Ovis aries: one gene and its partners. The protein of the gene in region 2 interacts with the protein of the main gene of each other region in a pairwise test. Links are inferred from orthologs where the notes say so. Each region holds a gene or a part of one and is shown on either strand. Other genes may lie near its edges.

Region 1 (4,154 bases), on a different chromosome or scaffold from region 2:
ACAGGAATCCCTGGAGACCCTGGTGCTTCACGATGCTGCTCCGGTGATTCTTGTACATAATCTGGTGTGTTCACCAATGATTTAAAGGGATCGTGGTCAGGGACGCCAAGAGAGTGGTGGTCACTTCCACTTCAAACCTTCAATGAGGGGGTGGGATGGAGAGAATGCTGAATCTTTTTTTTTTTTTTTTTTCATGGGATAGGATTTTTCTCTTTGTAATTATTTCTTTAGTTTAATTAACCTTTTGGTTGTTTGTGCAATATTATATATTTTAAATTATAATGTATCTCCCCAGAGTATTTTGTAGCTGGGATAAGAAAAAAGGAAAAAAAAAAAAAAAAGACTCTAACAGCTGTTAGTTTTGTAATTAAAAAAGAAAGAAAAAAGAACTTTGTCCTGAACCTTTTCCAGACTTGCCGTTAACAGCTATTAAAGAGATTCAACAGAAGCTGGAAGGTGTCTGGAGCTCTGTTCTTGTCCCTTACAGCAGCTGCCCCAGAGCCAGGGCAAGACAGGGTGTGCAGGGTGCCCTCCTGCTTGGAGCCTGGGGGAGGGGTCAGGATGGGAGGTAGTAGCCTGCGTTCCAAGGAGGTCCCTTGTCTTCATCCCAGACTCACCTTGGCCTTTGGGGTGAGGAAGGGACAGGGCCCCCAGAAGGCCTCTCACCAAGACAAGGAGTCAAGAGGCCGTTTCTGCATTCCCAACGCTTCTGCTTTTATTTGGAAAGGAAGGTGCAACAACAGTGGTTCCAACTGTTCTTGGTTATTTTTCTCTCCTCCCCCTGTATGTGTATGATTCTGGGGTCTATTTTTAAGTAACTTTAGTTAAACACCTGTATGAAAATCACTTGTCAGCCATAATAAAAGGGAAGTCTGAATGAGGCCCTCTGGTTCCATGAAGATCTTTAAAGGGAAAGAGAAGTAAAGCTGGGGAGGGTGTAGGTAAGTTTAGGATAAGTAGACTTAAAGTGTAAAATATAGATATCACCATCTTAGAAGCGGGTTTTTGGGTTTGCTTTCTCCCCCTACTTTATTGGGGAGGACTTGCCATTGCTTTTATGAAGTGCTTGCTAGCCATGGATGCCAACTAACTTCTTCAATTGAAGGCCGGAGAGTCATGTCTGGTTCCAGGAGCCGCTTGAGCAAGTCCTGGCATTCAGCCGAGATGCCCAGATGAGTGGGGAAGGACACCCCCTTCTGCTGCTGCCACAGCATCTTGGGGATGTCTGTGTCGTCAAAAGGCAGGCTGGCACAGAGCATGACGTGCAGGACCACGCCCATGCTCCAGATGTCACCCTTCGTGCTGTCATGCGGGATACCCTGCAGCACTTCGGGGGCGGCATAGGCGGTGCTGCCGCAGAAGGTCTGGCTCAACTCCCGGCGCGATTTGGGCAACACCTTGGCAAAGCCAAAGTCTGTCAGCTTCAGGCTGAAGCCCTGCAACAAGGCGTTCTCACACTTGAGGTCCCGGTGGGCCACACCACAGCCGTGGCAGTAGCGGATGGCCTCGACCATCTGACGGAAGAGGGCCTTGGCCCGGCTCTCAGGCAGTGGCCCCCCATTCAGCACACAGTCAAAGACATCCCCTCCTTCAGCCAGCTCCATCACCAGGTAGATTTTCCCGTCGGCAGACTCCAGCATCTCATACACTTGGATGATGTTCTTGTGGTCCAGGGTACGGACAATCTGGAGCTCCCGAGGCAGGAATCTCTGGATAAACTCTAAGGAAACAAAAGAGATGGAGAGTCAAGTCCAGAAGAGCCTAACTCCTCCCTCTGTCTCTCTGTCTTCCAACTTCTGTCTGCCCACCATGTCTGGGTTGTGGGCCTTGGTTCCCTTTAACAGCCTTCAGTGTCAAACCGCCTGGACACTGCAGAGCGTTCACTTCTGTCTTTGTAGTTAATATATTATTCAAAGGAACTAGTCCGTCAGCCTCAGGGACTGTTGTGAGCAGCCTGTGAGACCATGGATAGCAAAGTCCTGTGGGAACTTTTAGACAAATCTATTGAACTCAGTTATGAGGCCTGATCTGCCCACAGCGTGGTAAGCTAGCCCCTCTCACCTGTGCCCCCTGAGCTGCCGTTCTTTCCATGAGCCCTGTCTTTTCCCCATCTCTCTCCCTTGCATCGGTTCCTGCCCTCTGCTAGCCCTGGCCATGGCCTGACCAATCAGTTGACCTCCTAGAATAAGAAAGGCGTAGTAGGCTCTGACTCTGCTTCTGAGGGTCCTTCACTGCCTGCCATGGCAATCCACTCCAGTACTATTGCCTGGAAAATCCCATGGACAGAGGAGCCTGGCAGGCTACAGGCCAAGGGGTCTCAAAGAGTCGAACACGACTGAGCGACTTCACTCACTGCCTGCCACATTCATTTTGGACTTTCAGAAGGTGTGATTTTCCTAGACTTTCTCTGTTCCCCACTGACTGACCCCAGAGCCACAGCCTCTCTTGCTTTCTTTAGTTTAAGACTAAAGGGGAGGAGGGAATTGATCCTTCTGACTGGAGGAAGCACCCACCCACCTCAGCCAGCCCTCCCTTCCTCCAAAGGGGCCCCAGCTCACCTTCTGGCCCTCCCATCTTGTCTATAATTTTAATTGCCACTTTTCTTTGGTGTTTTTTGGAAACTGCTTCTTTGACTTTTGAGTAGGTCCCTTCCCCAATGGTCTTGCCCAGCTGGTACCCATTGGAGAGCAGAAAGTCCTCCATGCTGTCTAGCACCTCCTTCCTTCCTATCACCCTCTCAGCTCATGCTGCCTCTGCGAGGCAGCGCTACTCCACCATCGCCCTCGGCCCGCTTCTTTTCCCCCCAAGGACTTCATCCGCAGCCGCCCCCAGCGCTACAACATTCTCCGTCCGGACACAGGAGCCGCGGATGGTGGGGAGGGAGAGGGTCAGACATTTTAAAACTCTGGCCCAATTGTGATGTAAATGCTGTGTGACCCTGGGCCAAAATGGGCAATGCCCCTATCTGCCCTCACCACCACCACCACTACCACCGCAAAACCCAGCATGGGTTAAGTCACCTCCGTGCCCCGCCCCCGCGCCAGGCAGTGGGTCGTAGCCCCGCCTGTAGGGGTTGCTGCGATGTCTGCGCTCGGCCCGGGATGCCAGGCTCTGTTCCGTGGACGCCCCCATCGGGCAGCAGGGGGTCTGCGCGACCCATGGCCAGAGCCCTCCAGCTCCCGGCTCGCCACCGCGCTAAGTGCCCGGGCGGCGCGGGGTTCCCCGGCTGGAGGAACGGGTTCTGTGAGGTCAGCGCGCCGCGGCCCGGGTCACAATGCAGCCCGTCCCCTCGACGCCTGGGCCGGGACGCGCCGCAGACACCTGCCCGGCTCCGCCTGGACCGGAGCGTCCTCCCGCGGCCAGGGCTCGGGCAGCTGCTTCCAGCCTGGGACCGGCCTCGGCCTCCGGCAGGTGAGCAACGGCCCGGGGGGCGGGCGCGGGGAGGGGGCTCCCGGCCGCCCGGGAGCGGCCTGACCGCCACTCCCCGCGCAGAGCGCCCCGGGGCCTGGACATGAGTGCCCAGGAGCCCCCGCAGGGTCGGAGATTCCCCATTGAGGCCGGAGACTCCCCTGGCCTTGCCGCCGCCCCCGAGTCCCAGGACAGCCCGGAGCCGGTAGCTACGGAGCACAACCCGGTCAGGTGAGGCCAGCGCCCCTGCCCGCGGCCCCGCCCCTGCCCGCGGCCCCACCCCTGCCGGCTTTCCGTCCCCAGACCAACCCGCACCCGCGGCCGAACCCCTGGGACTGATGCGCCCCCTACAGGATGGGGCCGGCCGCCCCCTCAACGCCCCCCGTCGCGCCCCGCTTTCCGCAGGCCGCTTCGACGCTGCCCCGGCTGCCACTGCCTGACGCTGCTGCACGTGCCCATCGACGTCTACCTGGCCATGGGCGGGAGCCCCCGGGCCCGCGCCACCTGAGCGCGCCTGCGCAAGGCGGCTCCGCGGGAGCCGGGCGGGGACGGGGCCCGCCGCGGGCCACCACGCTGAGGTCGCGCGCGCGCCGAGCACGAGACAATGATGCACATTTTAAAATAAAAGAATGATGCACATTTTAATAAATCACAGCATAAACTGTTCTTTCCACTCCGGCTGGCCGTGTCTGTCTTATCCCGTCGGCTCGGGCCCGCCGGCTGCTCCGCCCCATCCAATATCACCT
Region 2 (4,018 bases):
TAGAGTCAAAACGACAAATTTGCGTGATCAGACCATAACTGAAGCACACACAGAGGCCAAGAGATTTACAGGGCCCTTCCTTCTGGGTCAGTCAGAATCACAGTGGAGAACTGGGTGAAAGCAGCCAGCAGCACCCCCTTGGAGAAGAAGAGAGGGTGCCGTGCTAGGTGAGTCCTATGTACGAGTCACATAAAGGTAGCATCACTTCGTAACTCCTGGAAGAGGTCATTTAACTAACCGATGAGCCGTGGTTCTGTTTAGAATTCTATTCCCAGGCCTAAGAGTTTGTTTAAGCAACTCTTTGGCCATCACAGGAGCTGTCAGCCCACCGAAGTGCTTAAGCTGACTGTTGGGAAAAGCAAGACTCAGAAGAGCATCCTTCCAGAAGGGCAATTTCTACATTTTTAACTAGTGGGGTCACTGTGCAGGAGTAACTTAATCTCTCCAATCCTTATTTTCTTCATCTACAAAATGGGAATGAGGATGATAGAATTATGTTGAGAATTAAATGAAATAACACAGGTTGAGGTCATTAGCACAGCACCTGGCAGATGATAAGCTCTCAATAAATGCTGGCAAAGATGATGCCACTGATGATGACCATGACATTGAAGAGTAAGTAGAAGAAAACTTTATTCAAACAATAATCTTGTATCTTTAGAGGATGTCTTGAAAGTCTTACCTGTGTCTTTAAAAGTCTCGGCTTGTGTCAGCCATAAACTTGCTCATTCTTTTCCTTTGGCTACAAACATTTGCCAGTGTTTGGTTACAAGAGATGCTGCCTATGGAAAAATCTTTGAAAGATTTGGCAAGGCATTGGAGCGAGTCAGGATTGCTTGATTGGTCCAACATAGATTTCACACTTCTGATAGAAATGCACACTTCTTTGCATATTTAAAATTTTTTAAATGCCTGGGGCAATTAAAAAATGCCTGGGGCCCCTTCAGGCAGCGGCCAGCTCCTGCCTCTTTAGAAAGTGATCCCAGCGTGATGATGTCCCAGCCTGGTGATGACCTGGAGGGGTAATGACCCTGTGTTTATTTCCTTGTTGATTTCCCTTCCCTGGCTCCAAGCTCATTTTCCCATTGCCTGCAGGAAAACAACATCCAGGGGTGCGGTAGGCCTGACTTGGCAGCCCTAAAGGTGAACAAAAGGACCCTGGCTCTGGCCAAGAGCAGAAGGAAGTTAGAGGGAGACTCAGCCCATCCAGACCAGAACAGACACATCGCTGATGCTCTTGAGTGGCTGCTCAGTGGTAGCCACTCTCCCTGGAAGCTCCCCAGAGGCTGCTCTCGGGGTTATGGCTCAGTTCTGTGCAGAGCCTGCAGCAGGGGCAGGGGATGCACTGATTGAGTCCAAGGTGGAGTGGATCTCATGCGTGTCTGGAAGACAGGGCACAGGAAAGAGAAGGGAAATTTTCCCAGGCTACTGCTGAGTCAGAAAAACTCAGTTCCCAAATGGACTTCACCCGGAGGCCTCACACAGCTGAAAACTGATCCGCAATGCAGCAAAGGTAAGCGGCCTGCCACCTCCAGAGGGTTGCGTCTCAGGCAATTGGAGAAAACTTTGTCCTGACTCTCCGAGCCCAGCCCCGACCCCACTCCTGCCATACACCACACACACACACACACACACACACACACAGAGGCACACAGGCACACACACACACTTGTTAAGGAGAACTTGTTAAGGGCACACACACACACACACATACACACACTTGTTAAGGAGAACCTAGAAATACTTTCAACACTCTAGAAAGGCCTCAGGACATTTACTGTCTTTATGTTCAAGGATACCACTTCCTTGACTTTCAAAAATAAAAACTACTTTTTGATTTCATTTTTCACTGGCCAAACTGGTCAGTTAAAATGTAAGTAATCCCATTAATGGTGACTGGGTTTCTATAACATTATTCTTTATCAGTATTCAAAACACATTCACGTGTTTTGTCCCATTTCTGTCGTAGACAATAGGCATTTCCGTTACTGTTTTACCCACAGAGGCACTTAGGTGCAGAGAAATTGTGACCTGCCCAGCAGTGTGTAGGAAAGTGACAGACAGCTCACCTTGTCTCCATTCCTGCCTCTTTCCAGTAGAATGGGGACTCTACTTTCTAAAGCAAATGACAGACTACCCTGTCTGTCGCATATTCCAGCAAATGGTCTGATGAGAGGATCCAGAAACGGAGAGTCACAGTATCCAGGACAATACCCCACTGTGTCGTGTATCCTTATTCACATCCATCCCTGGACACTGAAGCCAGTTCAACAGATATTGATAAGCGGTGGCCCCAGCGCCCAGTTCTGGGTCACACATCAGTGCAAGATGTAGACCCTATGCCCAGAGGGTGCTGAAGGAGGCAGAGTGGGGGCTGGGGGAGGGCTATGAGTGAGAAAGCTCTCCATGGGAGGGGAGCTTCACACTTGGGCTTAGCATGCTGAAGGAGCGGTTTCAGATCAGCACAGCCCTCGAGTAGGGAGGGAGTGTACATTTATAGCAAGACCACAGCAGCAGGGCAGGAGGAGAAGAGCACAGCCTGAAGAATTAGACCATCCAATGGTGAATCCTGGTTCCACCACCTACTAGCTCTGTTGTTGCTGTTGTTCAGCCACTAAGTCGTGTCCGACTGTTTGTGACCCCGTGGACTGCAGCACACCAGGCTTCCCTGTCCTTCACTATCTCCTGGAGTTTGCTCAAACTCAAGTGCATTGAGTCATTGATGCCATCCAACCATCTCATCCTCTGTTGCCCCCTTCTCCTCCTGTCTTTAATCTTTCCCAGCATCAGGGTCTTTTCCAATGAGTTGGCTCTTTGCATTAGGTGACCAAAGTATTGGAGCTTCAGCTTTATGTCTGGGCTAATTCAGGTAACACCTCTGACCTCAGTTTTTTGACATGTAAAATGGGAACAATCGGTGATACCTACCTTAAGGAGTTGTTTTAAAGTATAAATGAGATAACACGTATGAAGTCCTGACTGGCGCACGTGTTCAATACATGCTAACTGGCTCCATGGGAGATGCCAGAGATAAAGATAAGAGGAGCCCTACCCTCAATTTGATCACAAGATCATGAGTCCCTTGTGTGCCACTATCAATGTATGCAGTGTGGTAAGGGCTGTGGGATCGCAGAGGAGGGATCCACTCAGTCTGGGAGATTCTGGATGGAGGTTTTGGGCAGCCTGTTGGGGGAGGTGGGGAGAAGTTACACAGCAGAGGCCATGTGTAGGAAGGTGGCAGAGAACAGAATTGCACTGATTTGATGTTGAACACTGACTTCATCCTCCCCTAGATGCCTCCACCTGTTAGGCTGCTGGGACTGCCGTAACAGTACCACAGCCTGCATGGCTTGAACAACAGAAATGTATTTTGTCGTCGTTCTGGAGCCCGAAGTCCAACATCAGGGTGAGGCCATTCACCTTGGCTTGCAGCTGGCCACCTTTTTGCTGTGTCCTCATGTGGTCATTCCTCTTTAAGGAGAGCGTCTCTCTCTGTATGTCCAAATTTCATCTTCTTAAGAGAGCCAGTCATTAGTTGGATTAGAGTCTACCCTCAAGGCCTGTCTTTAACTCAGTCACCTCTCTCAGGGCCCTATCTCCAAATCCAGCCACATTCTGAGACATGGGACTTCAGCATATGAATTTGGGGGGATACAATTCAACCCATAATGTTGAGGCTGTTACTAAGTCTTCCCAAGCCTTACTTCCTTATTTATAAGATGGGGACAATTTACTTAACAAGGAGAACCATTGGAATGATTATAAAAAGAACCTGTGAAGCATCTATCCCAGTTTCTGACCCTTAGAAGGTACACAGTAGTCAGTGGTGGTTACTATCAGTACTTTAGGCCAAGTCTCAAAAGAACATGGGGTCCCCTGCACAATCCATGTTCCAGATGGACATTGGAGAACTGGCCCTTAGGTATCCTGCAGACTTTTGGACAAGGCAAGGGGCATTCAGTGCTTCCACTTCCTTGGTTCTGGCAGAAAGCCCATCATCAGATAAGTCAAGTGGCTG
Region 3 (4,198 bases), on a different chromosome or scaffold from region 2:
ATCAAGACAGACAAATTACAACTGGAGAAAGAAGAAAAGGCTTCACTCCACTGCTACTCACACAGTCTCATTGTGTCTGGTATGAAGTACCCTGGTCATATTTCCACTGCTACTGTCCAGGTAAAACATCATCTCTTATCTGGGCTGCATCTACCCCCAACTGGTTTGCCTGCCTCCAATCCATCCCCACACTACATGAACCTTCTGTCTCTCATATTTCTCCCAGACTTAACTCTACACCTAAATATGGATTAAATAAGGATTATTTCCTTTCTTTTATATGATTTTTCTCTAACTGGGGTTCTACTTGTCCCCTGACTGACCTATCACAGATCTCAGCTGGGATGTCACCTCCTCTAGGAAGTATTCCCAGACGCCCCTACATATGTGCTGGGTCACTCTCCCAGCACACTATACCTGTCCATCACACAGCAATGTATCATTTAGTACACAGAGGTTGTCTCTACCTCCCACTAAGCTATGAGCTATAGGACAGCAGTGTCTGGTCAGTCTGGCTTCTACAAACTTCGTTTCATACACAGTTCCTTTACACAACAAGACCTTAATAAAGATTTGACAAATGAGTTACAAACAAATGAACTGTGACTTCCTCTAGGGCAGGAGACTTGATATTTTATCTTGCTTCCCTGACTCAGGGATCAAATCTGAGTCTCCTGACTCTTCTGCATTGGCAGGTGTATTCTTTACCACTGAGCCACCTGCGAAGCCCAGTTAACTAAGTAACTTTAGACAAATTAAGCCTCAAGTTACTTCTCTGTAGAATGGAGTTACAATCCCTAACCTGACTACCCAGTAGCTTTGAGCAGAAATCAAACATATGGGTAAAAATCACTGAGCTTTTACTATGTGCTAAACCTCTGTGTATACTAACACAACACTTATGAAGTGCTATTATTCCCATTTTGCAGACGAGTACATTGAGGCTCAACTTGGCTAAGAGCACACAGCTAGTAAGTGGTGGGTCCGGATCCGGACTCAGGAGCCCTAGACACAGTGAAATGCCTTGTGAACTTCAAGGAGCTAGAGAAACGTGATATGTGAGGATATCTCTTGCCCCTTTCACCCCATGCTCGCCTGCGCGACTCGGTGCTCTGCCCTACCTGTGTTCCAGGCGCCACCCTAGGAACCAGAAGCCGGAGACACGGGCTCCCCAGCAAGGCCGTCAAGGGCGTAAAGAGTAATCGCTGCATGCTATAAACAGTGCCCAACGGCCACCTTCAAACTCCTGCGCTCTCTGGTCTCCTTTCTCCGCACCGACTGAAGAAGCACTTCCGGGTCACACAAACGAGCTCCTCCTCTTCGGAAGGTCGGAGCGAGCAGTGACTGCGCCTGCGCCAGTTTCTGGGCTTTCGCGGGGGCTGCTGGGGCGTGGACGTCGGGGACGCGCCGGGATGCGCGCAGCTGGGAGGACGCGCCTGTCTGGTCGCGCGCGTTGGAACCCGGACTCTTTGAGTGGAAACCGAAGAAGCACGAGGGACGAACGCGTGGAGCATGAAGAGGCAGGGGGCCTCCTCCGAGCGGAAGCGGGCGCGGATACCATCCGGGAAGGCGGGTGCGGAAGGTGGCGGGGTGGGGCGGTGGCCGACTTTGCCGCGGGGTGCGGGTCGGGCCGGGTCGGGCGGGGGTTCTGGCCCGTGGATTAATCGCGATTTCCCTGGAAGTACTTTCTCCTGCTCCTCACAAACACCCCACTGTGAGGCGTAATCTGTTATTCGGCTTTAAACATGTGAAATCTGAGGGGCTGATGGCGAGAGTGGCCCGGCTCTGGAGCCAGATAGGTGTGTAGGTTCGAATCCCGGCGCCCCCACCTCTCGTCGTGCGACCGTGTTCAAATTGGTTAACTTTCAGCCTCGCGTTTCCCATTGCCACACGAGGATACTGGTACCCTCTCACGGCAGCGCTGGATCAGTGTTTGACCTGGAGGGACCGCTTAATAACCTATAGCTGCTGCGGCGGGGATAGGGGTTGTCCCTAAAGCCACACCGCTCCGAAGTGGCTAAGCTTGGCTGCCCCAAGCTGCAACAGGATCGGCTGGCATGGCAGGTGCTAGGGAATTTGCCAGGTCCCTCCTCCGGAAACTTGGTTCCTCCAAACTAGCTGTTCTGAAACTTTGATCGCAGGACGCCTTAACTCTCCTAAAATTATTGAGAACCTCAAAGACCTTTTATTTATATAGGTTAAATTTATTGATATTGGACATGTTAGAAATTAAAACAGGACTTTTAAAAAGAAAGGGCTTCCCTTGTGGTTCAGCAGGTAAAGAATCCTCCTGCAATGCGAGAGACCTGGGTTCGACACCTGGGTTGGGAAGATCCCCTGGCAAAGGGAACGGCTACCCACTCCGGTATTCTGGCCTGGATAAGTCCATGGGGGTCGCAAAGCGTCAGATAACGACTGAGCGACTTTCTTTCACAAACAAAAGCCCATTACATGTTGAAACTTTATGAAAAAAAAAAAATCACTATTTTCCTAAGCAAACAAAAAATAGAATAGTACCAAATGTTTTATATTTTTGCAGATCTCTTTAATGTCTGGCGTAATGGAATTCTCATTAGGAATGGAGTGCTTTTGCATTCAGTGTGACAGGTAGCCTCTCGAAAACTCCACTCTGCCTGTGAAAGAATGAGAGTGAAAAAGGCAACTAAAATCTTGGTATTGTTACTAAAATAATTTTCACTGTACAGACTCTGAAAGTGTCTTAGAGGCCCCTAGTCCAGACTTAACTGGACAGCTACACTGAGAACTGCTGCTCCAAACAAATCTCTTTGATCCCTTCAAATAACTTCCTATTTTAGGACAACTGCCTTACTCTTTTCTTTTTGTCATAGCCTTTTATGTGCATCCTTACTCTCTTCTGGCCAAGATCTTTTTTTTTTTTTTTTGGCCACAGCCTGCAGCTTATGGGATTTTAGTCTCCTAACCAGGGATCCAACTTGAGGCCCTGGCGTTGAAAGCCCAGAGTCTCAACCACTGGTACATGCTCAGTCGCTCAATGGTGTCTGACCCTATCCACTCCATGGGCTGTGCCCCACCAGGCTCCTCTGTCCATGGGATTTCCTGGCAAGAATACTGGTGTGGGTTGCCATTTCCTATTGTGGGGATCTTCCCTACCCAGGGATTGAACCCACATCTTCTGCATTGGCAGGCGGATTTTTTTACCACTGAGCCTCCTGGGAAGCCCCTTAACTACTGGACTGCTGGGGAATTCCCGCCAAGATCTTGTCTTCTGTGAGGGAAATGGTACCCCTACAGCACTGTTCAGTTAGATTGATCTAACAGCTGATGTGGGTGAACTGTCAGGAAACCCATGGAATTAATGCTGTGCTCTTGGCTAAGAGCATAGCCAACATTTGGCCCTTGCAGAGTTTGAGGCTGATAGTCTCTTAAATAAATGAGACATTTGCAGTTTGGTGTTAGGGAATGATAGATTTTTGTTTTTCAAATTGAAAGTTGATTTTAAAAAACTATAAAAGCAGCATTAGGTAAACAAACAAACAAACAAGCAGTAAAGTAAAAAGAAGAAAGTAAAAGTAATTTTAAATACTACCACCTAGAAGTAACAATTACCAGCATATGCTGAACATTCCTCTAGATATTATTGCATGAAGTATGCATTCATTATTCTTAAGTTTTTTAAGAAAAGTATGTGCTTACAGAAAACATTCAAAACTGTTTTCATCACACTCTTTAGTGTAAATACATGAATGTTTATGAATTTATAATCATTCAGTTCAGTTCACTGGCTTAGTTGTGTCTGACTCTGCAACCACATGGACTGCAGCACGCTAGACTTCCCTGTCTAGCACCGACTCCCTGAGCTTGCTCAAACTCATATCCATTGAGTCAGTGATGCCATCCAACCATCTCATCCTCTGTCATCCCCTTCTCCTGCCTTCAGTCTTTCACCATCAGGGTCTTTTCAAATGAGTCAGTTCTTTGCATCAGGTGGTCAAAGTACTGGAGCTTCAGCTTCAGCATCAGTCCTTCCAATGAATATTCAGGACTGCTTTCCTTTAGGATTGACTGGTTGGATCTCCTTGCAGTCCAAGGAACTCTCAGGAGTCTTCTCCAACACCACAGTTCAAAAGCATCAATTTTTGGCACTTAGCTTTCTTTATGGTCCAACTCTCACATCCATGTCATCATTCAGCCTTTAGTAAATTTTTGTGTGTCTATT
Region 4 (4,201 bases), on a different chromosome or scaffold from region 2:
AGCCTTCCTGGAGTTGTGAGCATAGCAGTTGTGGCCTGTGACTCATAATAAGTACAAGGAGAAGGACAGTAACCCAGTAAGAGGGAAACTGACAATGGGTTTGCGTCATGAAAAGGCGACCCCTCCACTCACACAGGAGGGAGCCCTGCGTCACACTCACCCAGCAGGGCAGCCACTATGCCCACCAGCCCTGTGCCAGCACCCAGCTCCACAGCAGAGCAGCCCCTGAGTTCCACAGTGCCCATCTCCAGATACGTGGCAAGAACGACAGCCTGAGTCAAAACACAGTATGACAGTTAAGGTCAATAAGCGCTTTAGGATTTCCAGCAGGCTCCATGCTCCAGGAAGTTACCACACACCCCCTCCCACTGCAAAGCTCAACTCCCAGGTTAACAGCACCCATGGGAACTCAGCTGCTGCTGGTAGGGTCACCTAGAGCAAACATGGATACCAAGTCCCACGGCCCAGCTGCCCCCAGCCCCACCAGAGGCCCTTGGGGCAGTCAGTGATTCTGCCCATCCAAGGCCGGGTCCTGCTGAATCTGGGAAGGTTAACTTCTGTGTCACAGCACTCTGACACTCAAGGTTTACAAACCCATTCTGGCAGAGCTGACATGAACAGTCTCTGTGATTTGGCTTAAGGAATGTCCAGTTCCTAAACCGAGTTCAAATCAGCAAGGCCACAACCAAAGGGGACAAGCAGAGCCCCACCAAGTCTCTCGGAGCTGCATCCCTCTCTCCTGCTCTCCTGAGCCCCTAACACTCATCACCCCACAGCGACCGGACATCAAGGGGTAAGTTTCAGATGAAGGGTTGGACTTGATATGTGAGTTAGCATTTGCAAACAACTCTAAAAATCAATGTATGCTCTTAACATCACTTTAATTTTTCATGGCCACATACTATTAGTATACCAAGCAATTCCTCTTCTCAGTGAGAATGAAGGAGACTCATCCATTCCTCACTATTCTGTATCTTTATTACTCTTTCTGAGAAAACTTTTCTTGTTACCTTGGACTAGATTCCTAGAAGTAGTACTACTGGGTTACAGATATATCAATATTTTGTATCCCTGAATGTTTCTGACACCCCCAATACAATGTTAAGATTGTAAAACTGTATCTATGCCAATCATTTATCCAGCATTGGCTGAATCCTGAGTTCCCACTGAATCCCAGGTGTGGCTAGAGGCTGAGGGCAAGTCTGCTACAAGCAGTTGAAAGAACAAGGCTGGGGAGAGGAAAAAGTAACCATTATAGTGTCGTTTTTTGATCATGACAACTATGGAAAACTTAAAGAAAACACATGATCCTCCTGTGGGGCTTTGTCAGTTACATTTCCTTTGTGCAGTGTTAAACTAGTGTCCAAAGCAGCTAGGGACTCCAGTGGCAAGTCATTTGATTTCTCTCAGCTTTCTTTACTCACCCTTAAAATGCAATCTGTTTGGTGAGGTGGGGTGCAGGAAAATGATCTAATGGGTAGAGGTTTTCTGGGGATGGGGTGTGGTGATGCAATGTTTTAAAACTGAGCATAGTGGTACTTGCACCACTTTGTGAATTTACTTTAAAAAAAAAAACTTAAACTGCAAAGTACAGTATATAAATTACAACCCAACAAAGCTGTTAACTTTTCAAAAATAAGAGCACTCTTATCATCAATTGCTGATATTTTCAGAGACGTCCGGCGATCACTTACCGCGTCCCAAACCACCGCTGCGACTCCCAGTTGCTTCCAGTCCTGACGGATCTGTATCGTGTGGTTTGCAAAGGAGAAGGTGGCCAGAGGCTTGTGGAATCTCTGCAGCCCCATCTCCGCGGTCTCCACATAGGGCACCAGGGCCATCTCGCCCCCGGCCAGCTCTCTGCTCCCTCCAAGCTGTAGGGCAAAAGAATCTTGAGTGAGGCTCTAGGTAGAAAATGCACGACCTCTTTAGTAGCTCCAAATGCTCAAAGCCAATTGTTACAAGTTCAAAAGAAGAAAGAGTTGAGGCGAAGTCTCTAATCCCTTTTGCACGGCCCTCCTGGGAAGTGAGATTTCGCTCTGAACTCAAGCCAAAGGTGCTGGATGCCCTATACCCTCAGCGGTAACCACTCAGTGAATTCGCAGCGCGATGAGTGAGCGAAGTGGAGGTGACAGCTCAGGACGCGGAGAAAGTAGCGCTTTCTAAACCGCCTGGGCCCGCGTGGACGGCGGCTTGCAACCCGCCGCGGTCGGCGGGGCATCTATTGTTTTGTGTTGGTCTCCCCTCGCTCCCTCTCGCTCGGTGAGTTCAATGGGGACCACCACGGACTCGAACCTGAACTTCAACCTGGGGTTAACGTTGTGATTATCCTGGTTTATGGTACCGGCTGGATATACACGGTCTACGCAGATCCATTTCCTGGAGACTGAAAGTGAAAGACACTCGGGCATTCTGAATCTCTCGCGGGGAGCGGGACCCTGGGTCCGGCATGGAGTCGCCCCCCTCCGCGGCTGGGAGCCCTCCCCGGAGTCGCCCGCCCCCCAACCCCAAACAGGGGCGGCGGACAGAGACGCACGTCCTTCCGCCGGGCCCCGGGGCTACGGGCAGCTGCGGCGTAGGGGCGGGAGCCTGGAGAGGGGCCGCCCGCTCGGCCCGGCCTCACCCCGCCCCGGGAGCGCCGGAACCTCCCCGCCGGGGGCGCGGCCAGCGCCCCGGGAGCCCGGCGGGCCACGCACTGGGGCCCGCGGCACGGCCTGGCCTCTACTTACGGCTCCGGAGACGGCCTCGCGAGGCGCGCGCGCTGCTCTCCCCGCCCCCAAGGTCGCCGGCGGAAATGACCGGCTTTAAAGGGCCAGAGCCCGGGTAGACCGCCGCGCCGGGCCGGGAGGGGGCGGGTGGCCGGCGCTGGGCCACCCGTTTCCGGTCCCCCGCCCTCCCAGAACACGCGATCCCCGAGCGCCAGCGACGCGGAGCGGCGGGTGCAGTGGGGACCAGCGCGGGGATGGCGGGGCGGAGGCGGGGGCGGGGCGGGGTTCCCGCTGCGTGTGTCCGCAAGGTATCCGCACCCGCAAGTCAGTTTCTCTGGCCGCCGAGGGTGGAGCTCGTGGGGATCCACGCTGTCTAAATCGGGGAGTTCTATAACGACCACTGCAGGCTCGATCCTGAACTTAAACTGGGCGGACTCGATCCTGAACTTAAATACTAGGCATTAACAGTATGATTATTCCGCTTTACGATACCCTCTGTTATTACTGCCCCGCCATCATCTCCAGTATTAGATACAAGTGACATTCGCAAAGAACCAATGAATATCTACAACCTTAATGCCATGCTCCGGGACTAAATCAAACATCTGCAGAAAGCCGTGGACCGGTCCTTGCAACTGTCTCGTCAAGGAGCTGCAGACCCCGTGATCGATAAAGACAAGAAAGCCCTAATGAAAGAGATCCTCAGGTTCAAGTCCCTACTGAGCACCAAACGGGAGCAGATCGCCACACTGAGGGCGGTGCTGAGAGCCAACAAACAGGTGATCTCATTCTACTGGTGAGCTATGCTAGCCAACACTTTATGCCTAAATGTTTTCAGTGTCCACTACCATCAGGATGGGAGAAGGAAATGCCAACCCACTCCAGTATTCTTGCCTGGAGAATTCCATGGACAGAAGCGCCTGGCGGGCTATAGTCCTTGGGGTCACAAAGAGTCGGGCACGACTAAGTGACTAACACTACTACACTACTGGATATACACCGCTGCAGAAGCGGGGGCGCGGAGGGCATGGGTGCCACCGCGGCCGGGGACCGCGAAGCCACCCGCCTGGCACTGGAGAGGCGGCGGGTCTGCCTGCCAGTCTGTGTGCTAGTTCTCGCGCTCGCGCTTTTGTGTGTGTGTGTGGTCTTAAAATTTGTGCGCTTGCGGGTTTTTAGTTTTAAGGGTGGTCAGTTAGCGGGTGTAGGAGAAAATTCGCCCCTAAGAATACGTGGTCAGCCATCCACCACCCATCACCCATTCACCATCTCACCCAGGTGAAGTCCGAGTTAGTGAATTCGCGTGCTCCGTGGCTGCGCAGTGGGAAACGCGACAAAGCCCTTCTCGGAGCCCGCACGCGGCACCCTGGCCGGGGTTGTTGCTAGCGCCGTCAGCCGGGATCCTGTCTCCTTCCTTCCCCGGCCGAAAGGTCAGCGCACCTGCCCTGGGGGCACCCGTTCTTGAGACGAAAGCTGCTCAGAGTGTGGCATCTGGT
Region 5 (4,129 bases), on a different chromosome or scaffold from region 2:
GATCTGTGACCTGGAGGGGCATCCAGTCAAGTGAGGCAGAGGAGTCACTTCGGTGCACACACACACACATGTGCACATGTACACACCTGGCCTCGCTGGTTGCCTCAAAAAAGGGGGATAAGGGAGCAGGGACTACCCACACCATACATTCTGAGTTGCCCAAACTCTGTGACCCCTAGGTGGAGGGACAAAAGACACCAGCATAATCCAAACCCCATACAGCAAATGAAACTTAGGAGGCTGCAGCCTTCAAAACAGGGAGGTAGACTGGGATTGTGCGGGAAGCCTACAGCAAGGTTGTCTAGTCCCCGGTGACCCCAAGTATCCCTCCTCCTCCTTGGAGAAATCCAGTGCCCACACCTACACCAAGCTTGCTAGTTCAGGGGACAGAGGCCTCATCCAGGACAAACACCTGCTTCCCTGCACTGGCCTATTCTCACCTACCTGGGTCAGCTTCCCATTTGCAAGGCTCTAAGACTTACCCAGAACAGAGAGTGCAGAGGTGAGAGTCCAGCTCCCCCACCATCTCATGTCAGTCCTGGCTCTAACTAGACCCTCCCTGACTCAGAAGGCCCCCTCGCTCCTGACTATGGAGCCCTGGTCAGAGACAACAGTCCAGCTACAGGTGGGGACACACAGTCAACTGCTGGACTAGCTCGGGGAAAATTCATTCTTTCAGTGCCTTTCCCAGCAAGCCCAGCCCTGCCTCTCTTGGGTGGCTCCTAAAATCTCGCCTGAACTTTTTGCCCTTTTAAGGGTCAGGTCCTACATCACCCTTCTCCCGGGGTCACAAGACAGCCAGAGGAGACCTAACACGCTGCCCCCTCCCCTGGTCGGGGCTCCAGCGCGCCCTCACCCACGTTGGGTGCTTTCCCCGCGGGGCTTTTTACCTGTCTCAGCTGAGCCAGGCTGTGCCCGCCACCTATCCGCACAGCGCCCTACCTGAAGCAGCAGCCGCCTGCTCTGGGCTCGGACTGAGCCCGGGGGCTCTCGGTACTCCCACGGCGCGGGGGCCGGGGGGCTCCCCGGGGGCTGGGGGCCGCAGCGGGGCCCGGGCTCCAGCGCCTCGCAGCACACCAAGCTCACCGTGCAGCCCATCCGGCCGGGCGCCCGCCCGCCGCTCTCCCTGGCCACCGCTCGGCCCAGGGCGTCGGGAGGGGACCAGCGACGCCCCCAGCCCGTCCCCGCCCGGAGCCTCCTTGGCCCGCAGTGCCAGGAAGCGGGGGAGCGCGGGGCCGGGCGAGGGGCGGTGACACCGGCGCCCGGACGCAGCCAGTGAGGAGGGAGACCCGAGGGCGCGGTGGCGCGGGGAGGGGCACGCGGGGTCTCGGGACCCGGGCGGCAGACCCGCCGGGAGAGAGACAGCGCGGGCGGGCGCGACGGGAGAGGCAGGAAGCAGATAAGGAGAGAGAATCAGGGAGAGACGGGGACACGGGGGACGGAGAGGGGGGACGCAGCCTCTGCACGCGGGAGACCAAGTCCCGAAGAAGAGACCGGCAGGAAGTCCCCACCGAAGGACGGAGCCGAGCTTGGGTACCGCGTGCGCGCCAGGGCTTACGCGCGGCTCCTAGGGCGGGGGTGGGTAAAGTGGGTTGTCCTCGCAGGGGCCTGCTGCTCTGTTCCCTGCGCTCAGTACTGGCTGCTGGGGACCCCACGGGGGAAGAACCCCAGCCTCAGGGAGGCAGAGCCCTAGCCAGGGTGGGAGAGTCCCAGCCCACCTGGGCAATCCACCCAGCCCGTTCCTGGATACAGCCTTTCACGAGTGCTTTCACTTTCGACGTTTCTGGGGTGATTCCCAGAACTGGGGAGATGGCACCGGTGGTCAGCAGTAACGGGGAAGAGAAGGGAGACATGTGGTGGGACCCTTGTTCTCTCCCCACCTGTACCACACTCAAAGTGACAGTGAAGACCGGCGGCGATCTTGGGGGCAGCATCGTAGCCTCTTTGTGCCACCTGGTGGCGATAAGGAAGAAAGACAAGAGCAAGTGACCTTGATGAGAAGCGGAAAGAACGTGCAAAGCACTCGCAAAGCAGCAGTTGCCTCTACCTCTGGGTCCCCATCTCTGCTGGGCCAACTAGTGAATCTGCCCCTGTTCTGCCTAAGAGGAACCGTCTCCCATCTCAGCATCTGCCCTGGTGCCCTGCCTCTACCACTTCTCTCCTGTGTACAGTCTTCCGTTCCTCCTGCTCTGACCAATATTTCCCCTTCCTCCAGGGTGCTGGACTGGGCATGAGTCACTTCCCAGGCAGCAAACTCTGGGAGAGGCTGTACAGAGCGCTCAGTCACAGATAACAGGCTGAGGCTGCAGTGCTCCAGCTTTCCATGCCCCAAAGAGCCAGGCCTTTCCGGGTGAGTAGCAAGGAGACCCCTGGGTCTCGGGGTGGTCGGATAAAGGGAGTGATGCCAGGAGCAAGGGCAGAGGAATCCTGGATAGAAATGAGGAAGAGGAGGCGGTCCAGCTAGGTGTTGGTGGATTCCAGAGACCATCTGGGCTAAAAGGAGCTGCAGAGACCCTCCATCCAACCCCTTGGTCTACAGGTGGGGACATCCAGGCCCATGAAAAGTGAAGGATGTGCCCGAGGTCACACAGTGAGCTCGCAGCAGTGCCAGGTTGGAGGAGCAGGGCTCTTGATTCTCAGCACCGTGCTCCCTGAATACCATCCCCTGAGCCTCCCTCACCTTCCCTTCGCTTCGTTTTCCCTTCCCCTTCTCTGCGTCCCAGCGCTCCTTCACTCCCACTCACCCCCAAATTCCAGCCACCACAGCGTGAGAGGCCGGACACCTGGCTTTCCCACCCTGTGCCTGCCTTTACTTCAGGCTCAAAGAATAAGCCCATGGGCCCTAGGGGCCACGTCTTTCCTTTCTGAGCCCCAGGATCCACTGTGTGTGGGGAAAACAGGCTGAGATTCCCTGGGGAGAGAGCAGCAGGATTAAAACCCTGCTCCTCACACCCCACACCCCAGCATTCTAGCCCAACCCCCCACTCTGTGGCCTTGCCTTGCTTCTGCCTCCTGCCTCCTTTTCCTCAAAGAACATACATTTTCCACTCAGCTGGGGCCCAGGAAAGGATGAATGTGTGTCCCAAGGATGATGACTGTTCGGGCAAGGCCCCCTGTGGGGAACAGGACCTCACCCCCTCAGCCCAGCGTCCACATGGCTTGCACACATGAGCCCTTAGGACTGCTCATGGTCAGTCAGGGTTGAGGGCATGGGCTCTGCAGGCACAGGGACCTGAGTTCAAATTCTAGCTTCATCCCTTAGAGTTTGGTGACTTTGGATAGAACACCCTGTCTGAGCCCCCCTCTCCTTGTATAAAATGGAGTTGATAACCTCCCAGGGTTACTGTGGGGACTGAATGAGACAAGGGTGTCAGGCAAGGGCACAGTACTTCCCTCCCAGGAACAGCTCCCTGGGAGGGTGGGGAAACCCCACCATCCTCCTCCTGCCTTGCCCCGAAAGAAGGAGCTGGGGTTTTCTCCTACCAGTGGACTCGCCGTGTGACCCCAGAGACGTCACATTGTTCTTTAGGCTCTGATTCTTCCTTTGTATGAGGAGAGCGCTGGGCAGCTGTAACCGGAGGCTCTTTCCCAGGCCGGTATTCTAGACCATAAGGAATCACGTCCCTCAGATACTCATGGCCAAAGAAGGAGCTGTCCTCAAGATGACCAGGGACCTGAAGGGTGAGTGTGTCCAGAGAGAGCCCTGGGACGGCACTTGGGGAGAGCCCCACTCCTCTCTGAAGTCTGACGTCCACTGTCTTCCCCACAGCTGCTGTCTCTGCCATCCTTCAAGGCTACGGGGCTGGGCGGCAGCCGGTGACAGATGCCAGTGCTGAGCTGCACAGACTCTGTGGCTGCCTGGAACTTCTGCTGCAGGTAGGTCCTCCCCTCGCCGTCTCTCCCATCTCTCCAGGTCCCAATAACCAGTAACCGAATGGGCTTTCCCAGGCGTTGAAGGAAGAGCCCCTGCCACTCTTGTTACCACACTCTACCCCGTCTCTGTGACTGTGCATGCACCCTCAGTCGTGTCTGACTCTTTGCGACCCTAAGGACTATAGCCCACCAGGCTCCTCTGTCGATGGGATTCTCCAGGCAAGAATATTGGAGTGGGTTGCCATTTCCTACTCCA
Region 6 (4,070 bases), on a different chromosome or scaffold from region 2:
CTTGTCAGGCTACCTGTTCAGCCTGCTGAGGGTCTTCCCTAGGCTGCCCACTCCCCACCACATCTCTCTCCACAAGGTGTATATATTTCTGCATAGACAGTAGACAGATCTCCCAGGCTTGATCATTATAAAGGTAGGGGCCATCAGTTCTACAAAATCCACCCCCCTTCTCCTTATTTATTCTGATTTCTCCACCTTCGCTGCTTGCTGTTGATAGTGCTTTTGTGTAGCCAGTCCTCTCTTCCCAGGCTCTATGGGGTTCCTTGTAGCAGCCAGGAGCTGTTCCATTCCCTGAGTTTGGGGGGGAGTGTGGAAGTACTATTTGTCTGTCCCGCTTAGCTGGCGTTATTATTTTATTTTTTGGTGATGTGCTAACAATAAGACGTACACTGGGGTTTATTCCTTTGGCCTAAGAAGGAAGGGATCTACATGGCAGGTGGGATGGGTGTGATCACGGGGTTTGGGACCTGTTCCTGTCGGGAGTACCTGGCAGGAGCCCTGGGGTGCTCGTGGTTTCCTTCCGAATAAAATAAAGACGGGTCGCCATGCTTGGGCTTCTTGTCACTCATTTCTGCGCTGGGCACAAGGAAGGGAGGATGCACTTGGCTGACGGCCGAGAGAGGAGGCCCGAGGATGGAGGGATGGAGGCTGCTTTTCCAGGGACCAAGCGGAGGCCGAGAGGGTTGTTTGCTAGCTGGGTTTCCCCCGGCCCCCGCCTCAGCGACTAGGGGAGGGCGGGGGCCGTCAGCGCCCGGGAGAGGGAGGCGGGGGAGACGGCCACGACAATAGTCGCCCCCACGTCCCTAGGGGCCCGCCTCGGGCTGCTGCAGCAGCGCGCGCCCAGCCGGCGGGGCCGCGCCGAGCTTCCCGGGGCGGGGCGCGCGCGGCTCCTGCGCACGGATCCCTGGCGGACCTCAGCACCGTCTGCCAGGCCGCGCCGCCCCGCCCCGCCCCGCCCCGCCCCGCCCCGCCCCGCCTCACCGCCCTCTTTTCTAGGCCCTCGGCAAAGCGGCGCGGCCCGCCGAGTGGCGCGAGTGCTAGAGCCCGGGCTCCAGCAACCCTCCCCGGGAGGCAAGCGGGGACAGCAGGGGCCCCCGGTCGGCGCGGCGGCGGAGGGGAGGGGCCGGGACTCTTTGACGTGGCGGAGGGGTTGAGCGGCACGGTTGAGCCGCCATCTTTGGTCCACTGCGGCGGCGGCGGCGGCTGCGGCGGCGGCGGCGGCTGTGGCGGAGGAGGAGGAGCCGACGGGCGCTGACACCGAGGCCTGACCATGGACGAGGAATACGATGTGATCGTGCTGGGAACCGGACTCACCGTAAGTGCGGCCGCCGGTGTCCAGGGCGCCGCCTGTCCTCCTCCCTGGGATGCTGCAGCCCCCGGCCCCATCCTCCCATCAGTGCCTGCGCGGCGCTGTTCGGTCCCCGAAAAGATAGCCCCGTCCCCAACCACCGTGACGCGGCCTCCATCCCTGTCATGGCCGGTCTGCCAAGAAGCGGCCCCTTTTCTGGCTGTCTCTCTTGACCGATTCCCCGGGCCCGACCCCCAGCCCCTACCCAGGACCAACTTAACATCCCTTCTCATTTTGCGCTCATTCTGACGGGGATGTCGTGGTACAGGGACCTCCAGTCAGATCGGGGCGGGGGGACTTCCCAGGGTGGGCTTTCATCCTGCCTTCCCAGGTTCTTAGGGGGCCCGAGGACCCAGGGAATGTTCCAGAAGGAGCCGTGGTGGGGACCGTGACCACATTCCCACTACCCCACCCCGGTTTCCCATGGAGACCTCGGGGCTGAGGCGCATTTGCAGCCTTTGTCCTTGGGCTGGTGACAGTGACTGGTGAGGTTGTTTGCCCTCCCCCGAACCCTGTTGGACTGCTGCCCTGAGAGATGCCTCCCCAACAGTCGGGTGTGGAAGCCCCTACTGTGACGGGGAAAGCTCAGGGTCAGGGGTTCCTCTTTGAGGAAAGTGGCCCAGGGTGGGGCCTGGGATTTCGGCACCATGCTAAGCCTTTACTTCCTTTTCGGGTCCTTTGCTTGTCCAGCTAGGCGATCCCTGTGTTTTATTTGCCTTTTTGTGGGCTTCTACGTCGATAGATGATTTTCTTGGCATCTTGGTTGCTTGAAGACCATCCATGTGTCTGCTGGATACCCTCTTCCTTGTTCACCTTTTTGCCCAGCAAGGTTTTAAAAGGAAACCATGGTCAAATGAAGGTGTCCCCCCCCCCCCCCAATTTCAGGCAGAGCGACCAGCCACAGGTGCAAGGAGCTGTGTGTTGAGGCAGAGGCCCTTCAGGTTGACTCTCCCCTCAGGGTTGGAGTGGGGAACATGGTCAGGGCTGCTTGTGGGAATGTGGGCAGATGGGAGTGCAGTGAACATTGCCCCTCACTCAGGAATGTATCCTGTCGGGTATCATGTCTGTGAACGGGAAGAAGGTGCTGCACATGGACCGGAACCCCTACTATGGGGGTGAGAGCTCCTCCATCACCCCCCTGGAGGAGGTAGGCTGCTCTGGGCCCAGGCCTGTCCCTCGTTAACCTCTTGCATGGGGTGCTGAATGAAGCAGCTCCCCAGGTTTTCTGGGTGGGGGGCGGGGGCAGGGGCGGGAGTGGGAGGGGGTTCCTTGAGATGCATCTTTCTGTCTCTCTTTTCCCTTCTGCTGCCTGCAGCTGTATAAGCGTTTTCAGTTGCTGGAGGGGCCCCCTGAGACAATGGGCCGGGGCCGAGACTGGAACGTTGACTTGATCCCCAAATTCCTCATGGCCAATGGTGAGGGAGACGGAGGAGGTATTGTGGGAGGCGGGGTGATTGGGACGAGCAGAGAAGGGTCAGACTGCAGACCAGGGACAGACAGACCAGCTTGAGCTTGTGAAGGGAGCCATGCTGACTGTGTTGCCTTTCCCACACCGCCCTGCAGGGCAGCTTGTGAAGATGCTACTGTATACAGAGGTGACACGCTACCTGGACTTCAAGGTGGTGGAGGGCAGCTTTGTCTACAAGGGGGGCAAGATCTACAAAGTACCATCTACCGAGACTGAAGCCTTGGCTTCCAGTGAGTGTGGGTCCCATGAGCCAGGGAATCGGGGTGGGGGAAGGGGGGATAGCTATCAAGAGCAGGATGGCCCTTGCTGCAGGCCATGTTTCTTGTGCAGTACCAAAAGCCCCTTGCTCTATCATCCCCCTGTGTGCACCCACTGGTTGCCAGGAGAGGTGTCCAAGTGCGAAGGGAATATGGTGTCCTGGACAGAGGCTTCACCTGATCAGTGAAACATCCCCAAGTGTCAGAGCTGGGAATGCTCTCAGAGGCTGTCCAGCCAGACTCACTCTTGGTACAGTTGAGAAAACAGGCCAATGAGCACAGAGGGGTTAATTGAAAATCACACAGTGGTCAGCAAGAGAACTCTGCTGGGAGTTAGGGCACCGGCTTGCTCTGCCTGCCTGGCAGGTGGAGAGGGTCACGGCCCGTACCTCAGTGGTGCTTTGCATGTGGCCCTCACAGACCTGATGGGCATGTTTGAGAAACGGCGCTTCCGCAAGTTCCTGGTGTTCGTGGCAAACTTTGATGAGAACGACCCCAAGACCTTTGAGGGTGTCGACCCCCAGAACACCAGCATGCGTGACGTCTACCGGAAGTTCGACTTGGGGCAGGATGTCATTGACTTCACTGGCCATGCCCTAGCGCTCTACCGCACTGATGAGTGAGGGGAAACTGGCATGGCAGATGACCCTTCAGCCGGCCCACACCCTGCCCTCCCACTCCTGCCTGCTGCTCCCTTGGCTCACCCTGCCTACCTCCCATACTCAGCTCCGGGCTCACTCACCTGTCGCCTTTTCTGTCCCTTCCTTGTGTTTGACCAATGGTCTTTCCCAGGCCTGCAAGGGTGGGAAGGCTGGCCTGATGCCAGGGTGGGGGTGCACTGGGCCTTCTGCTCTTGGAGCCTCTTCTGACCCTATTTCTCCCAGCTACCTGGACCAGCCATGTCTCGAGACCATCAACCGCATCAAGTTGTACAGCGAATCCCTGGCTCGGTATGGAAAGAGCCCGTATCTGTACCCACTCTATGGCCTTGGCGAGC
Region 7 (3,500 bases), on a different chromosome or scaffold from region 2:
GGACCACTCTCAGAAGTCCTCCCGGGACCCCCCAGCCAGTGCCCCCGACCCCAGGCCACCGCTCTCTCACCAGGCGGGAAGCTCTTTCCTTGCTCCGCAGCCATGAGCTTGTGGTTAGGGGCGTAGGGGGGAGTGGGACTCCCGGACCAGGTCTCCACTGCGCTGTGGCTGGGCCGGCTGTTGTTCTGTCTGCAGAGGGGGTAGGCGGATGCACCCCGTGACGGGGGCTGCAGGGCCCTGACTGCTCGGAGCCGCTCTGACCAACTGTGGGGCTGAAACGTGCACAGAACTCCTGGGAGCCCCATCCCCTGAGCTGCACACAGTGGCCGCTGTCTCACAGAGGCGGCTGCCCGCGGGTGGGGCTGGGATCTGAACTCAGATCCTTTCTGGGAACCCAGACCCTGTGCCTGGGAGGTTCCGTTCCAGGTTCCAGGGCCTACGAGGCTGAGCCAGGCCCCCACCTCCCTGCGGCTCACAGCTGTCCCTTGCCCACCCTGCCTGCCTCCTGGTCCTGTGTTTAGAGGCCTCTGGGGTCGGGGCCTGGGTTTGCTAACAAGCCCCCTCTCCAAGAAAAGAAGCCGTAGGACTCAGTTGAGAGCGGGCATCTAACAGGACAAAAATCCATGATCCTGGCTCAGCCTGGCCCCACCCCACCCGCCACGCACACTGATGTGCAGAGACCAGGACCCCTGACACGCAGCTCACCAAACGCTGTGCCTGGCATGCAGTAGGGACCCAAGAAATGCCCAAACCCCCATGTGCAAAAATACTAGAAAAGTCACTGCGGACACACAAACACACACGCCCGTGTGCACGGCCGATACGCCTGGTGCCCAGCGTGGCCGCCGCTCGCTCTGGAATCTGCCTCCTGTGAACCTGAAAGCCCAGCATCCTCTCCCTCTGTGCCGAGGGGCTGACCACCCCCAATCCCCGGGGAGGAGAAAGGCTGGCAGAGTCTTGGGGGTGTCGGTCCTGGGACCTCTACAAACCAGCAGCAAATGAAACATGGCCCGCGGACTGTGAATGGGTGCAGCGGGGGTCCCCCAGGGACAGGCTGCTGGCTCGAATGCAGGTCATGCCGTCCCCAGGGCTGGGAACCAGGGTGGCTGGGGGCCCTGCAGCTGAGAGCTGAGACAGCTGAGGTTTGGGGACTGAGAGGTGGGGATGCGCAGGAAGCAGATGTATGTTCCCATCATCCCTACGTGAGATTTGGGGAGGGAGACAGGTGTAATGGCTGACACGTGGGGGGACAGCTGACTCGTGGGGGGACGGCTGACTTGTTGGGGGAAGGCAAAGCGCAGGGAATCAGCTCTAATAAGTGCAGCGCTCCATCTGATCTGTGACAGAAAGGAAGCTGCAGGTTTTTTAATCAAGATAGTGATGATAAAGGATGAAGGAAATCTATGTGATAGGAAATCCCCTTAACCTTGGAGACCCTCTGAATCACGAGACTGATCACGGATGCAGAGTCTAGGGCTTGGCTCCCAGGGACCCCAATCCCAGATGGTGTCACCAGGGCCCAGGACTCTGCGTCCTGCATTTCCCAGGGGACTGGGCTGCAGGCCCTCAGAGCAAACACGTTTTGTGAACAGCATCACCGAGCACCTCTGCAACCACAGTGGGTTGGGACGAACCCCCACCTAGGAGCAGCATCCTGCCGTGCCAGGAGACGCCAGGCTCAGTAAGCTCAGGCACCTGGCAGGTGCGCCCAGCTGTTCCTATGGCTTAAAAAAAATATTTATTTGGCTTCACCGGGTCTTAGTTGTGGCATGTGGGATCTAGTTTCCTGACCAGAGATCGAACCTGGGCCCCCCTGCATTGGGAGCGCAGAGTTGTAGCCACTGGACCCCCAGGGAAGCCCCTGTTAATGTGTCTTTACTTCTGCTTTGCCTCAGGCACGTCAGCTATTCAGGGAAGGAAGAGCACAGAAGAGCTGGTCTGAACTTGGGACAGCAAATGCCCCCCACGTGGCCCCTGGGGGCTGGGCCTGCCAGCCGGAAGGAGACTACTCCTCTCCGGACCCCAGGCTCATTGCCCCAAAAAGGGGGGACCCCAGGTGTTTTCCATGTTCTCAAGGACCCGCAAACAAGGCCTTAAATAATACTAACTAACCTCAGGAGAAAAACCACTCCATTTCACTGCTGTTCAGTCTTTCTGAGGTGGTGATTTGATGGTACGGTGTTTTCAATGCCCATCTACCATCTCACAGCCTCGAAACAAGCAGGGAGCAGGTCGAGGGGTCACCAACAGGGCTTATTTTTACAGTCATGGTATTTTTCATTCACAGCCTGAGATAACTTGTTTTCCAATGATGGTAATAACCACTGCAGTTTCCCAATTCCCCAGTTTTAAAAAATGAGCCCAACAGTGGAGCAGTTTCAGATCAACAACAACAACATGACAAGGTAGGTATACAACTGTCCCCACTTAACAGGTGGGGAAGTGGAGGCAGGAGAGAGGCAGCAGCTCGCCCAAGGCTGCCCAGCCCCCAGGCACACGCCCATCCCCGCCACGCAGCAGGCTGGCACAGCTCACTCCCATCCACGCACCGGATCTGGCTGGTCTGCTCTTCGATGGCCTCCACCGCGCTCTCCACCGAGCTCAGCAGGGACTGGATCTGATTGGCCGTCTCCTTCAGGAGGAAGCGCGTCACAAACTGGTCCACGTTGCTCCCGCCCTCGTACACCTGTGGAGGGAAGGGAGGGGGCACAGAGGGAAAGGGGTTGACGAGGGATCTGATACACCGACTTGGGGTCACCCTCCCAGGGCTCCTGCAGGAAGGCAGGGGCTATGGACTCAGAGCCCAAGGTTTGAGCCACAACAGAAATCACAGTGTCTACAATACTGCATTGAGGACGGAAAGGCAGAAGGTGAATGAAATGCTCAGCACTGTGCCTATCACATAGCAAACGCTCTGTGAACGGTAGCTGCTCTGATGAAGATGGTAACAGTGACGACAGTGCTGGCGAAGGCGATGGTGGTGGCGCTGGTGGTTCTAGTGACGACGCTGGTGGCCACTTCTGTTCAGCATAGTATTGGAAGTCTAGCCACAGCCACCAGACCAGGAAAAGAAAAGGTATCCAAAATGGAAGGGAAGGGGTAAAGCGGTCACTCTATGCAGACAACATGATACCCTATACAGAAAACCCTGAGGACTCCTACATCCAGGTCAAAAAGCAACAGCTAGAACCAAACATGGAACAACAGACTGGTTCACAATTGGGAGAGGAGTACTTCAAGGCTGTATATTTAATTTATTTAACCTGCCACCCTGCTTATTTAACTTGTATGCAGAGTACATCATGCAAAATGCCAGGCCAGATGAATCACAACCTGGAATCAAGACTGTGGGGACAAACATCAACCACCTTAGGTATGCAGATGATACCACTCTAGTGGCAGAAAGTGAAGAGGAACTAAAGAGTCTCTTACCGAAGGTGAAAGAGGAGAGTGAAAAAACTGGTTTAAAACTCATTCAAAAACCTAAGATCACAGCATCC

Evidence for each region.
Region 1: the proteins of LNX1 (region 2) and TSSK3 interact in binary tests that used the Homo sapiens proteins (3 or more experiments, as listed by UniProt). The link is inferred for Ovis aries from reciprocal best matches to the Homo sapiens genes LNX1 and TSSK3.
Region 3: the proteins of LNX1 (region 2) and CUTC interact in a two-hybrid assay, tested with the Homo sapiens proteins (3 studies listed by BioGRID and IntAct). The link is inferred for Ovis aries from reciprocal best matches to the Homo sapiens genes LNX1 and CUTC.
Region 4: the proteins of LNX1 (region 2) and METTL21A interact in binary tests that used the Homo sapiens proteins (3 or more experiments, as listed by UniProt). The link is inferred for Ovis aries from reciprocal best matches to the Homo sapiens genes LNX1 and METTL21A.
Region 5: the proteins of LNX1 (region 2) and RUFY4 interact in binary tests that used the Homo sapiens proteins (3 or more experiments, as listed by UniProt). The two-hybrid records come from large-scale screens. The link is inferred for Ovis aries from reciprocal best matches to the Homo sapiens genes LNX1 and RUFY4.
Region 6: the proteins of LNX1 (region 2) and GDI1 interact in binary tests that used the Homo sapiens proteins (3 or more experiments, as listed by UniProt). The two-hybrid records come from large-scale screens. The link is inferred for Ovis aries from reciprocal best matches to the Homo sapiens genes LNX1 and GDI1.
Region 7: the proteins of LNX1 (region 2) and NECAB2 interact in binary tests that used the Homo sapiens proteins (3 or more experiments, as listed by UniProt). The link is inferred for Ovis aries from reciprocal best matches to the Homo sapiens genes LNX1 and NECAB2.

Annotation. Positions count from the first base shown.
Region 1 is NC_056055.1:235,204,024-235,208,177, forward strand, and holds TSSK3 (testis-specific serine/threonine-protein kinase 3), read right to left. Parts: upstream 2,801-4,154; 5' UTR 2,704-2,800; coding exon 2,559-2,703; intron 1,721-2,558; coding exon 1,056-1,720; 3' UTR 144-1,055; downstream 1-143. Other genes in the region: protein FAM229A, read left to right, coding at 3,275-3,411, 3,493-3,639, 3,814-3,916. UniProt on the Homo sapiens protein: Serine/threonine protein kinase required for spermatid development and male fertility.
Region 2 is NC_056059.1:69,874,314-69,878,331, reverse strand, and holds the start of LNX1 (E3 ubiquitin-protein ligase LNX), read left to right. Parts: upstream 1-1,218; 5' UTR 1,219-1,513; intron 1,514-4,018.
Region 3 is NC_056075.1:20,477,539-20,481,736, forward strand, and holds the start of CUTC (copper homeostasis protein cutC homolog), read left to right. Parts: upstream 1-1,398; 5' UTR 1,399-1,512; coding exon 1,513-1,573; intron 1,574-4,198. Other genes in the region: cytochrome c oxidase assembly protein COX15 homolog, read right to left, coding at 1,122-1,211. UniProt on the Homo sapiens protein: May play a role in copper homeostasis. Can bind one Cu(1+) per subunit.
Region 4 is NC_056055.1:209,711,281-209,715,481, forward strand, and holds the start of METTL21A (protein N-lysine methyltransferase METTL21A), read right to left. Parts: upstream 2,801-4,201; 5' UTR 2,697-2,800; exon of another isoform or gene 2,537-2,696; intron 2,493-2,536; exon of another isoform or gene 2,387-2,492; 5' UTR 2,296-2,386; intron 1,875-2,295; 5' UTR 1,842-1,874; coding exon 1,695-1,841; intron 273-1,694; coding exon 161-272; intron 1-160. UniProt on the Homo sapiens protein: Protein-lysine methyltransferase that selectively trimethylates residues in heat shock protein 70 (HSP70) family members. Contributes to the in vivo trimethylation of Lys residues in HSPA1 and HSPA8.
Region 5 is NC_056055.1:220,159,876-220,164,004, forward strand, and holds the start of RUFY4 (RUN and FYVE domain-containing protein 4), read left to right. Parts: upstream 1-1,329; 5' UTR 1,330-2,350; intron 2,351-3,529; exon of another isoform or gene 3,530-3,592; 5' UTR 3,593-3,635; coding exon 3,636-3,681; intron 3,682-3,769; coding exon 3,770-3,876; intron 3,877-4,129. Other genes in the region: TNS1 (tensin-1), read right to left, coding at 943-1,098. UniProt on the Homo sapiens protein: ARL8 effector that promotes the coupling of endolysosomes to dynein-dynactin for retrograde transport along microtubules. Acts by binding both GTP-bound ARL8 and dynein-dynactin.
Region 6 is NC_056080.1:80,001,185-80,005,254, reverse strand, and holds the start of GDI1 (rab GDP dissociation inhibitor alpha), read left to right. Parts: upstream 1-1,270; coding exon 1,271-1,315; intron 1,316-2,387; coding exon 2,388-2,495; intron 2,496-2,663; coding exon 2,664-2,763; intron 2,764-2,911; coding exon 2,912-3,046; intron 3,047-3,493; coding exon 3,494-3,692; intron 3,693-3,957; coding exon 3,958-4,070. UniProt on the Homo sapiens protein: Regulates the GDP/GTP exchange reaction of most Rab proteins by inhibiting the dissociation of GDP from them, and the subsequent binding of GTP to them. Promotes the dissociation of GDP-bound Rab proteins from the membrane and inhibits their activation.
Region 7 is NC_056067.1:9,859,298-9,862,797, reverse strand, and holds part of NECAB2 (N-terminal EF-hand calcium-binding protein 2), read right to left. Parts: intron 2,687-3,500; coding exon 2,550-2,686; intron 190-2,549; coding exon 71-189; intron 1-70. UniProt on the Homo sapiens protein: May act as a signaling scaffold protein that senses intracellular calcium.